3 linked regions of the Xenopus tropicalis genome follow. The protein of the gene in region 3 binds, or shares a complex with, the protein of the main gene of each other region. Links are inferred from orthologs where the notes say so. Each region holds a gene or a part of one and is shown on either strand. Other genes may lie near its edges. The genes, in order: c9orf78, ppp1r8 and akap17a.

Region 1 (3,758 bases), on a different chromosome or scaffold from region 3:
ATATATATATATATATATATATATATATATATATACCAAATCAAACACAACCAGCACCAAGGGTCTTGTGGTTCAAACAAATATTATAGTATTATAATTGCATGTACAACTGACGTTTCGGTCCCTTTTGGGACCTTTAAAAAGGTATATATATATATATATATATATATATATATATACAGTCCAGAGTGGGAGGCACACCATAAAATGAGAGTAAACCTAGGTGCCAGAGCTATAAAATCTGTAGATAGGTAAAGAATGTCGGCACTCTTAGGATTTCCACAATAAGGCAAAAAAGTAAAGTTTTTTTTCAAATGCAAGCGGTGAGATTTATTGTTTCCAACGTTTCAGTCCTTTACTAGGACTTTCGTCAGGGAGTGCAGGAAGGCAAAGACATTGCACTCCCTGACGAAAGTCCTAGTAAAGGACTGAAACGTTGGAAACAATAAATCTCACCGCTTGCATTTGAAAAAAAACTTTACTTTTTTGCCTTATTGTGGAAATCCTAAGAGTGCCGACATTCTTTACCTATATATATATATTTATATTGAGAGAGAGATACAAGTTGCTAGTAAGCTGCACACCATGAGAAGAAATAATACCTGGGGGTGCCAGAGAAGGTGTGTGTGTGTGTGTGTGTGTGTGTATATACATACACACACACACGCAAGGTTAATATGATGCACTGCCCCCAGGCCCCTGCCGCTACACTAAGCTAAACCCCTGCCTGTACAGACATTAATCCTCTAGTAGTTATGGAGCTTGTACATGGATACGGGGTGCAGGAGCAAACCTACCTCCCTATGCCATGCCAGCCTGATGCCAGATACCTCTGTTACCGCAGCTGTTGACTGCTGATTCCTAACTCCGCCCCACACTGCCAAGGCAAGGGCGGAGATCCGGAAGCTTCTCACTGGCATTATTACATCATTAGACCGCGCCGGAAGTTTACATATTCCGTAGTGTCCGGGTTCAGCAGCGGGGAGAAAGATGCCTGGGGGAAGAAACTTTCGGAGGCGTAAAGCCTCGTCGTCAGATGAAGAAGCGGAGGCTGAAGAAGTAACTCAGGAGGTTAGGTAGGTTCTCGTTATATTTCTGCGACTCAACAGTGAGGATACTCGAAGTTGTATTCGTGTGAAACGTTACCTCAGGCCTTTTTTTTATTCCAAGAACGCGTTACTATGGATACCAATTAGCCATAAACACATTGTTGGGAGGGCAGACTTGGGGGTCTGCTTTTTCTATAGGTGTAACTAACTAACCCCCTTCCCCATCACTGTTCTACCTGAGCGTTAGTGGGCAGAGATAGGGGAAGTGAGCAGTGTCGGGCTGGGACCCAGGGGCCCACCAGAAAACATTAGACCCTCGGCTCACTCTCCAAATTATTTTTTTCTCAACCAACCTCTGCTAGTCTCTTTTATTTACATGCCAATATCTATTCTTCCATCTATTTCTCTTCTTTGTTTTCATTCAGCAATAGGGTATGACCGTGAAGTAGGCCAAATGGTAGGAGCAGGAGGGCTCACTGACACCTGTGCCCACCAGGAGTTTCCTGGTAGGCCAGTCCGACACTGGAAGGGAGGGGCAGGGTGTTGGTTTGTGAGGGGAGGGTGGGTAATGCCCTCTGGGGGGCCCTGCGTGGTCTGGTAAGTCAATACAGGGTACAAGAATGTGTTTACTTAACAAGCACATGTGGGCCGAGGAATGCGCGCACACACACACACACACACACACCATATGTAGATTCAGCACTCCTAAGCGTGGTCAAAAGACCCATGTGCTACCAATTAAGCATTAAAAATAAAAAATCTAGTGAATATTGGTGCACACCGGGAATCATTTAAAAAAGTAGCCTTTATTGTAGTAAAAAAAAAAAAAAATAAAAAATATATATATATATATATATATATATTTTATTATATATTATTCTCTTATTAATACCCTGTTTGTATTAATGTATTCTACTGTACAGCACTGCGTACATAAGTAGCGCTTTATAAATAAAGATATATATATATATATATATATATATACATATACATATACATATACATATACATATATATATATATATACATATACATATACATATACATATACATATATATATATATAGAAACAACAACAAGAGATCCTCTGCACTCACCCATTATCAATATATAGGACATTAAGACATTCAGTGCATTTAAGCTACTAAGAAATGCCCTTCCCTTTAAGCAAAACAGGGATTGTTTGTCCATATATTGCAATATACTTCAAGCTGGCCAACTGGGTCAAAGTCATCCCTTTTGACCAGTTCCTACACTGACTTATGCGATTCATTAAGAATTCTACTGCTTCAATATACATTTAGCCAAGGGACTAAGTTTTACCTGCAACTTTCTTGCTTTCAAGGTTAAAATCCCCATATGGTTGCCCTTTTATTGGCTCCACTGGGATCACCTGACTGCAGCTGGGAAGGGTGGGAGCTACAACAAGGAGCTGGCCACTGCTCCTGTATAAGCTATAGTAAAAAAAGGGAAAGTTGTTCTCAACCACTAAATTTTAAACCATTAAAATATATATATACACACACATACAGTCATGGCCCAAATTGTTGGCACCCCAGAAATTTTTCCATAAAATCAAGTATTTCTCACAGAAAAGTATTGCAGTAACACATGTTTTGCTTTACACATGTTTTGCTTTACACATGTTTATTTCCTTTGTGTGTATTGGAACAGAACTAAAAAAAAAGGGAGGAAAAAAGCAAATTGGACATAATGTCACACAAAACTCCAAAAATGGGCTGGACAAAATTATTGGCACCGTTGTGGATAAATAAGTTTGTTCCAAACATGTGATGCTCCTTTAGGCTAATGCCACACGAGGTGTAGGGCGGATATTTTCGGCAAGCTTAAAATCGATTGCTGAAAATTCCGCCCTACGCCTCCTACATGTGCCTGCACCCGAATGAATGAGATACGCTCTGGTGCAGGCACATGTAGCCGATATACGCATGAAAAAGCGAGACTTTGCATTATCTCGCGACATTTAAATGAAATGAAGCGCTATGGCAGGAGACCCAGGAGGACCCCACTGCTGACAGTGCCGCCATCAGAAATTACAGGGCCCCTCACAACAAAATTTTCTGGGCCCCCCTCTTCCCACGCCCCCAATGGCCCCTCACCCAGTGACCCCTCCCATCAGTTTCCAAGCAGCCTATGCAATAAAATGTCTCTTTAACAAATGGCACACACTACACAGAATATAAATGAGTTTTATATTTGTTAAATCACATTTATTACTATTATTATTAATTAATACAGTATTGTTATTAATACAGTACAGAAATGCTTTCTCCCCCCCCCCCTCTGCTGTGTTCGAAACAACCAGCCACACCTAGCGATTAATTACTGACGCCCTGGAGGCTCCGTACGCTGTAAGAGTAACTGAGTGTAGTTAACAGACCGAGAAACTATATGAGGAGCAAGTGGTTGACATACTGGGTGTGGGCTATGATACAACTTTGGTTAACAATTCTTAGATTGCCGAGCGAGAACTTATTGATATGCTAGTTGAGTATAATCACGGCCTTAATTCTGTCCCTTGAAGTGTAAGTAGGTTGTGTTACAATTGCGGGCTAAGTTAAACATACACTCTATATTAGCGGTGCATTGTGATTGCAAAATACGGGACGTAAAGTGAATATATTTCTGCAGAGATCTGTGGTGGGGATGCGGCTTCTGTGATTTGTCGTATAGAGGGCAGATGTACTT
Region 2 (3,658 bases), about 41 Mb from region 3:
GTCTGTCTTATATGCATATATATGTCTTAAATATAGCTACACTATTACTACTAGGATTATTGCTTTTTGATGGATGAAAATAGGACACAGCAACGTAAATACAAGCTAATATTCTATATACATTAAGGAAAGCATATAGCATGACCATAATGTTAAAGTACTGCCACATAATTATTTTTTCAATCTAACAAGTCTAAAGCATACCTTTTGGGCAGTGGCACATGGGGAGATTAATAGCTCGCGATAAATCTTTACTATCGCTGGCGACTAATCTCCCCGATATGCCATTTACACTGGCAAGAATATAACTTGCTGGTGGGATGGCATACGCATCCCTTTTGGAAGTTGCCTTGCAACATAACTTTGGGCGACTTTGGGAAACCAAAGCGATGCATATGCCATCCCACAGACAATTTACATTCTTGCCAGTGGAATGGCATACAGGGGAGATTAGTCCCCTGCGGTAGTCAAGATTTATTGCGGGTGACTAATCTCCATGTGCCACTGCCCTTAAGGTATACATTAAAGGACACCTGTAGTATTGTGCCCGTGTGTTACATTGAGTGAAACTCTTGACCTGGGAAGTGATGCATTGTTGCAAAAGTATAGATTATACTTACTGCTGTTGAGGTCTATCAGAAAGACCCTCTTCAGATGCTTGTGGTACACCAGGGCTGAATGAACTCTGGAGCATGACTGATGATCAATTGTAAAGTCACAAATATCTGGGTTCCTACCAAATAGGTAGTATTTCTTTTCATCAATAATTAGTTTCTGTAAGATGATGAAAGCAGTTTCTTAGATAAGAATTCCAAAAAAACAAACATATCTTATACGAATACTAAGCAAAAATAATTATTTTATCAATTTAATACAAAGTTAGAAAATGAAAGCAAAGATGCGACTGTTAACTACACTGGGAGTGTATAACACTTGGAATTGATCACTAAATCACAGCTGGTTTGTCTAAACTAAAAAAAAAGTTTCTACCAATGCCATCATATGCAGAAGTGAGGTGTTGCCTAACTTCCCTCTTATATCTGTGCCAAATTAGTCTTGCATAAATTGTAAAACTCAATCACATAAGGGGGCTGAAATCTAAAACCCAGGCTAAATCGCTGGCCAAATTTTTTTATTAATATACTGTACGGTCAGGCACAGTCAGATTGCAGTCAGGCGATTGGTGCTGCACGATCAGGCACAGTCACCAGGGGCCAAATAAAACAGCCAGAAGGGCCGTATTCAGCCTGCGGTCCTTGTGTTTGACCCATGTGCCCTTAGGCTAAAAGCTAATGGGGAGATTTGTCGCCAGTGGTTAAATATGGCATTTACTTTATTGCCAACAGGAAAGCGTGTTGGGAAGATGACATCGGCGGTAGCCCAGATCTAACCGCAGGTGACAAATCTCTCCATCTGCTATTAGGGGTGCAATTCAAGTTCAAAAGAAACACAGTTGTTGCTGGTGTGTTTGGTCATTTCAGTGGGGCTGCATATTCAATATTCTATAGTAAGTACTATTAAAGTACAGGTATGGGACTTATCCAGAATGCTTGGGAGCTGGGGTTTTCCAAGTAACGTCTTTCTGTCTACTAAAAAATCATTTTAACATTAAAAAAAAACCAATAGGATTGTTTGCCTTCAATAAGGATTAACTATATCTTATCTGATATCAAGTATAAGGTACTGTTATTATTTCAAAGAAAGAAAGAAATCCTTTATAATAATATGAATTATTTGATTCAAATTGAGTCTATAGGAGATGGCCTTCCTGTAATTTGGAGCTTGCTGGATGACAGGTTTCCAGATAACAGATCCCATACCTGTACTTTTTTTTGCAATCACCTGTAGGAAAATGTAAGCATTATCCATCTCAATTAATATTTGTACGTGATTCTTTACTATCTATGAATGCCACCCTTGCCTCAATAGTTGTCCCGATTCCTAACTCTAGTAATAAGTCACTTCTTTTATCGGTCACTCCGACTCAGACTTTGTGCATGCAAAGTTGCAAAAGACCAAATCATTTGCATGCCTACAAAAAGCACACTTCTTGTGACTGTCAAAAAATGCCTGTCACCTACATACAAATGAGTGTCTTCAAAGACTCCACATGAACAAGTAAGGAGTTTAAAAGGAAATAAATCTGGCCGTTCAAGAGGCTGGGTTGGTGCTTTACGCTTAAGTTACAATAGGTTTTCTTGTTGTTTGAGTGACCTATATAATGGGCAAGTGAAAGGAAGGATGACATTAATTTTCTATAGAAGAACAAAATAACCTATGATTATGTGGTTTTCTGAGCAAATTATGAGCATAATTTGCAATTATGTTCTAAGTCAGAGCAACAAATTCCACCTCATGTATAATCTAGTAAAACAGTGACATCTAGTGCTAGAATTGGCAGGAGGAATGCAGATTTTTGCTTGCTTTTACCAAGATTACTTTTAAGCACAGAAGCTCCCAGATATAGGAGTAGCCTGATTAACAACAACAAATATATAATTTAAAAAAGCAATGTCATACTAAAAATGCTTTAAAGAAAATGTCCATATTTCAAATTAGAAACTGTGGCAAGTCAAAAACACATCATTACTTATGTAACTTAACCATGATCATATCTAACACATTCACACAAAACGCATAGTCACAGTGCACACCCAGTGTATCCCTTGGATCTGTACCATAAGTTATAACTCAAGGTGTCTCTCTGCACTCTGAGCTTAAATGCTTAAGGTTGGGTTAATGTGGCACTCATGGAAACCCAGATACCATGGCATACACTCATCTGAAAGAACAGACAAGCGTGGGTATCCTGGCTCGTATCAAGTGCACTTTTAAAGGAGACTCAACATGTTAATCAGTTGCACCTTATTTGTATAAAGCTTCTTATATACCACAGGAATTAACCTTTTCGTAATGCTTGCCATTTTATTGACCATTTATATATAATAAGATCTTCTGGTACCTGTACTATAAATTCACTTAATTGTTGTAGAGCCTAATACACCTGTTCCTTAGTCTCAGGATTATATTTTACTGTATAACTTATACCTTTTCAAAGGAAGTATGTAATGAAGCTGAGATGCACAGCATTGTGGCCACAATGAACATACTGCAGCTGCAACTGTTAATAGTTATTGCAAGTAGGTGTACATGAACACCATACTTCCCTTCTGACAGATAAGACTTTGCAATCAATTACTGTTGACGCAAAAAGAACTGGTGGAAAAGGTAAAGGTGACAGAATTAACTTTATATAATTGACATTTTTATATAACTAACAACATATCTGTTGCTTACTAGCTACATAATTTTAAACTTAACCTTGTTTTCTAGCACTGCACTCCCATTTCATTTGCCTGTGTATGTTAATATTTGAATTTATCCTGCTCTGGTGGGTGTGGGGGTTTGTGTACACTGGTTGCCATGGTTACTGTGGCTGTTTTTTGGTACCATTTTATGTGGTGGGGGTATTTACTGTGGGTGTGGGCATTTGGTCTGTCCCTGAGGAGCAGCACTGGTCGAAACGTTGGAATTTTTTCAATAAAAACACTTTTTTTTCTTTTGTATCAAGCCCCTGTGTGTGCGGCACTCTTTCAATTATATTTTTGTTTTTGACCTGCACCAAGGGCATTTGGACTTGTATATGGTGTGCTCCTTT
Region 3 (3,758 bases):
TGCGTAAGGTGGAAAATTGATGGTTGTTCACCATGCCTTTCAGACGTTCCATTACTTCCCAGTTAGATATGGACTTTCCAGGTTGCTTCAGCTGCGGTAGTGCCACGCTGATAATCATCTTTGTGATAGGCTTCAAGTAAAGCCCACAAGAGCCACACAGCTCTACAGCTTCCGATGTATCATGCACTATCGTAGCTGCAGCCATAATCTTGAAGGGGCTGTTAATATATAAAGTAGAAATGTTAGGTAATATCTGCAACTTCTTTTATTAAAATGTTGCCTTTAAAATCAAAAGACAAGCAAGTGAAATAATTTATATGTACCAAATTACACAGCACATATTCCTAATATATTAACAAGCATCCCATTTGTAAATAAAACAGACCTCAAATACTGTGTGTACTGCATACAGCTGCTACAAATGGCTGCATCCATACCAGCAAGTGAGACTGACTGTGACACCCTTGACTCAACTATGCCCCACTTACATTCACAGATGAAGGTAATTATGTACATTCACACTTATGATTATTGCTCTCTCTGCATCTCAGCAAAGGGTTCATACTGTCACTGTGATTGATTTTTAGAAAAGGTACCAGAGAAATGAGTAATTAAACGGTTACCCTACCAAACTCAATTGCTAGGTTGGTAGTTTTACATATCAGAAGGCAAAATGCAACACTGAATAATTATAACATGGTCTACAGGATATTTGAGCAATGGCAAACATGGCATCATATTTTTAGCAAGTCAATTTCCCAGACAAGATGCAGCGTAGCTGCACAGCCATCTCATTAGATTTTGAAAGAGAACTGAACCCTAAATAAGAATCTGTCTAGAAATGCTGTACTCTGTATTAAGAATTTGCTGTATGGGCCAAGAACTTTCTCACAGCTGTAACAGTAATGTTTCAGGCCTTCAGTGTTCAAAGCAGCTCCATATCATGAAATCTAGTTAGGCCATCTTTTGAGTGTCAGTGACATTGCACATGCTCAGTGTGCTCTGGGGTACTGCAGAGAAGCTAAGCTTAGGGTTCAACTCAATTCATAAAAACATTACAGAAAATAAGTTCACATCTGTTACAGAGGCTGATGCTACAGGGCTAACGCCAATTCTGCTGCACTGATTTCTGCGCTGCCATATACTGTGATCTGGGATATAATACCTGAATGTGCTGCCATATACTGTGAATTTGGATATAATACCTGAATGTGTTGCCATATACTGTGAATTTGGATATAATACCTGAATGTGCTGCCATATACTGTGATCTTGGATATAATACCTGAATGTGCTGCCATATACTGTGAATTTGGATATACGGTAATACCTGAATGTGCTGCCATATACTGTGAATTTGGATATAATACCTGAATGTGCTGCCATATACTGTGAATGGGATATAATACCTGAATGTGCTGCCATATACTGTGAATTTGGATATAATACCTGAATGTGCTGCCATATACTGTGATATGGGATATAATACCTGAATGTGCTGCCATATACTGTGAATTTGGATATAATAGCTGAATGTGCTGCCATATACTGTGAATTTGGATATAATACCTGAATGTGCTGCCATATACTGTGATCTTGGATATAATACCTGAATGTGCTGCCATATACTGCGAATTTGGATATAACACCTGAATGTGCTGCCATATACTGTGAATTTGGATATAATACCTGAATGTGCTGCCATATACTGTGAATTTGGATATAATACCTGCACTGTATTGTGCATTGTCACTAAACTCGGGTATCTGACCAGCAGCAAAATATGGGGAGCATTTTCAGAGGCATAAAGTCTTTCTAGCAGGTACACAAAACAAAATGAACTGTAGCATTCCTAGTCTAATTCATTGTTGAGGTTCAGTTCCCCTCAAACAAACCAGCAAGCGGAAGGCTTTGCGTGTGACATCCCGTATTGTTGTTTTCCCTACGCGCATGAATCCCAAGGAGAGGTAGTACAGGGCAGGTGCATACCGCTCTCCCGCTTTCCGTAACACAACCCGGAGTCCCAGACGGCTGCTTAAACGTCCCGAAACGCCATTAGCGCCCTACTCTCTAGATCCTGCCGTACAGCCAACTCCAACGTTCCGCCGCTCATCTCGCGAGACTATGATGTCACGGAGCCACGCAGAGCAGCGCAGTGACGCTAAATCCTTCCGCCGTGAGGCTCTGTCGTGCAAGGTGTCACGCAATCATGTCTGTGGGGGCTGCAGCAGGTCCCACTGCCCGCATTTCCTGAATTAGAGTGGGCTTCAGCTCCCAATATTTGGCCATTCATTGCTTTCTTCACTTTCTCTCCTCCTTACACATTTTAGAAATTACACCTGTGCCAGGAACAAAAAAACCTCCTCCTCAGGGTGGGGGAGCATATTTTTCACACTACATGGTCAGAACAAGGGTAAAACGGAAGTTGTATTTTACTCTTCCTTTATACTTTTATAAACTTGGAATTGTGCAGGTTCCTTCCCTAAGAAAGTTCTGGAACCCAAAAGAACATTGGCAGGGAGTTCCCAAACAAAATGAGACCCATTTCTTTGCTGCTTGCCAGCAATACCCACTACCACTGGTGCCTCTGCTCCCAAAAAATAGTAATTCATGTTCAAATTAAGGCAAAGTGAAATGAAGTAATCTATTTTTCTGAGCTTTTTGTGCAAATGAGGCAGATGTTTCACAGATTAGGGACAAAAGGGCTAATTTAGCAGAATACAACGAAAAGTTAACAAGGTTTTAGGCTCTTTTGTTTTATCCTTGGCTGAAACAGAAAGGCAGGAGCCTCTGCCATAAAAAAAAAATGTGCCAGTGAATTATACTCCTCTAAATATAGAAAGGTTGTGCTTAAAAAGTTGTGCTTGAACTGATTTATTGAGAAATTCCACCTAAACCCCACTAGTATGGGCCATCTGTCCCACTTCCTGCTGGGTGAATTCTCTGGATGTGCAGGGGAGCCACAGGCTCTCAGTACAGATACTGTAGTAAAGGGACCAATCAGCAGCTAGGCTGACCTGATAGGGAACTGAAGCCTGTCTTTGCTTGTGTGAGTGCAGGGCTGTGATTGGCTATCCCCCTCCTACTGTGCTTCTGGCAGGGACCGTTAGGACACGCCCACTCTTCATTTCAAACTCGGACAGAGAACTGATAGGATCTATAGGGAGCTCCAATAAAGGGGCCATTTTTACAGACTGTATTTAATTTTAGCCCAAAGTGAAACCAGCACCATATATTATTCATAATTGCCTACAAAATAAGGGTTTTTCCATTTATCCAATGAGTGTGTAGGGACAGAGGCAGCAGGGAATGTGTGATTTTAGAAGAAGAGAGAAGGGGTGGCACTCGGGTTCAACTTGCATAGATGTTGGTTTGCCTTAGGGCTAAACTACATGGGAGATTTTGTAGAATGGTACAAGTTGGATGTAGATGCATGGGTCAAACTAATCAGAATGATAGAAAAATGTGATGTGCAAACTACATGGAGTATTTGCCATCCAAATGGAACACTGCATGCTTAGTCTGCATCTAACAAGATAAAGCTTATGTTTTTAAAGGACTTTATCTCTTGTTGAAATACATTTGCTGTTGGATCTAGATGCGAAACTCACCATCCTATTTTGACTGATACAACTTGCTTAGCTGCTGTGGGGATAATATTTTGTAGGATCCTATAAAATCTTGCACGATTTTGTGGGTCAAATAAAATGTGGAGCATGGATTGGCAAACTTCCAAGAGAACCCTGATCCTTGTTCAG

Evidence for each region.
Region 1: akap17a (region 3) and c9orf78 share a complex: the UniProt entries of both Homo sapiens proteins name them as parts of the spliceosome. The link is inferred for Xenopus tropicalis from reciprocal best matches to the Homo sapiens genes AKAP17A and C9orf78.
Region 2: akap17a (region 3) and ppp1r8 share a complex: the UniProt entries of both Homo sapiens proteins name them as parts of the spliceosome. The link is inferred for Xenopus tropicalis from reciprocal best matches to the Homo sapiens genes AKAP17A and PPP1R8.

Annotation. Positions count from the first base shown.
Region 1 is NC_030684.2:22,434,160-22,437,917, reverse strand, and holds the start of c9orf78 (uncharacterized protein C9orf78 homolog), read left to right. Parts: upstream 1-979; 5' UTR 980-990; coding exon 991-1,076; intron 1,077-3,758. Other genes in the region: usp20 (ubiquitin carboxyl-terminal hydrolase 20), read right to left, coding at 798-920. UniProt on the Homo sapiens protein: Plays a role in pre-mRNA splicing by promoting usage of the upstream 3'-splice site at alternative NAGNAG splice sites; these are sites featuring alternative acceptor motifs separated by only a few nucleotides. May also modulate exon inclusion events.
Region 2 is NC_030678.2:79,515,157-79,518,814, forward strand, and holds part of ppp1r8 (nuclear inhibitor of protein phosphatase 1), read right to left. Parts: intron 2,830-3,658; exon of another isoform or gene 2,671-2,829; intron 775-2,670; coding exon 621-774; intron 1-620. UniProt on the Homo sapiens protein: Inhibitor subunit of the major nuclear protein phosphatase-1 (PP-1). It has RNA-binding activity but does not cleave RNA and may target PP-1 to RNA-associated substrates. May also be involved in pre-mRNA splicing.
Region 3 is NC_030678.2:38,922,048-38,925,805, reverse strand, and holds the start of akap17a (A-kinase anchor protein 17A), read right to left. Parts: upstream 2,108-3,758; 5' UTR 1,990-2,107; intron 219-1,989; 5' UTR 206-218; coding exon 1-205. UniProt on the Homo sapiens protein: Splice factor regulating alternative splice site selection for certain mRNA precursors. Mediates regulation of pre-mRNA splicing in a PKA-dependent manner.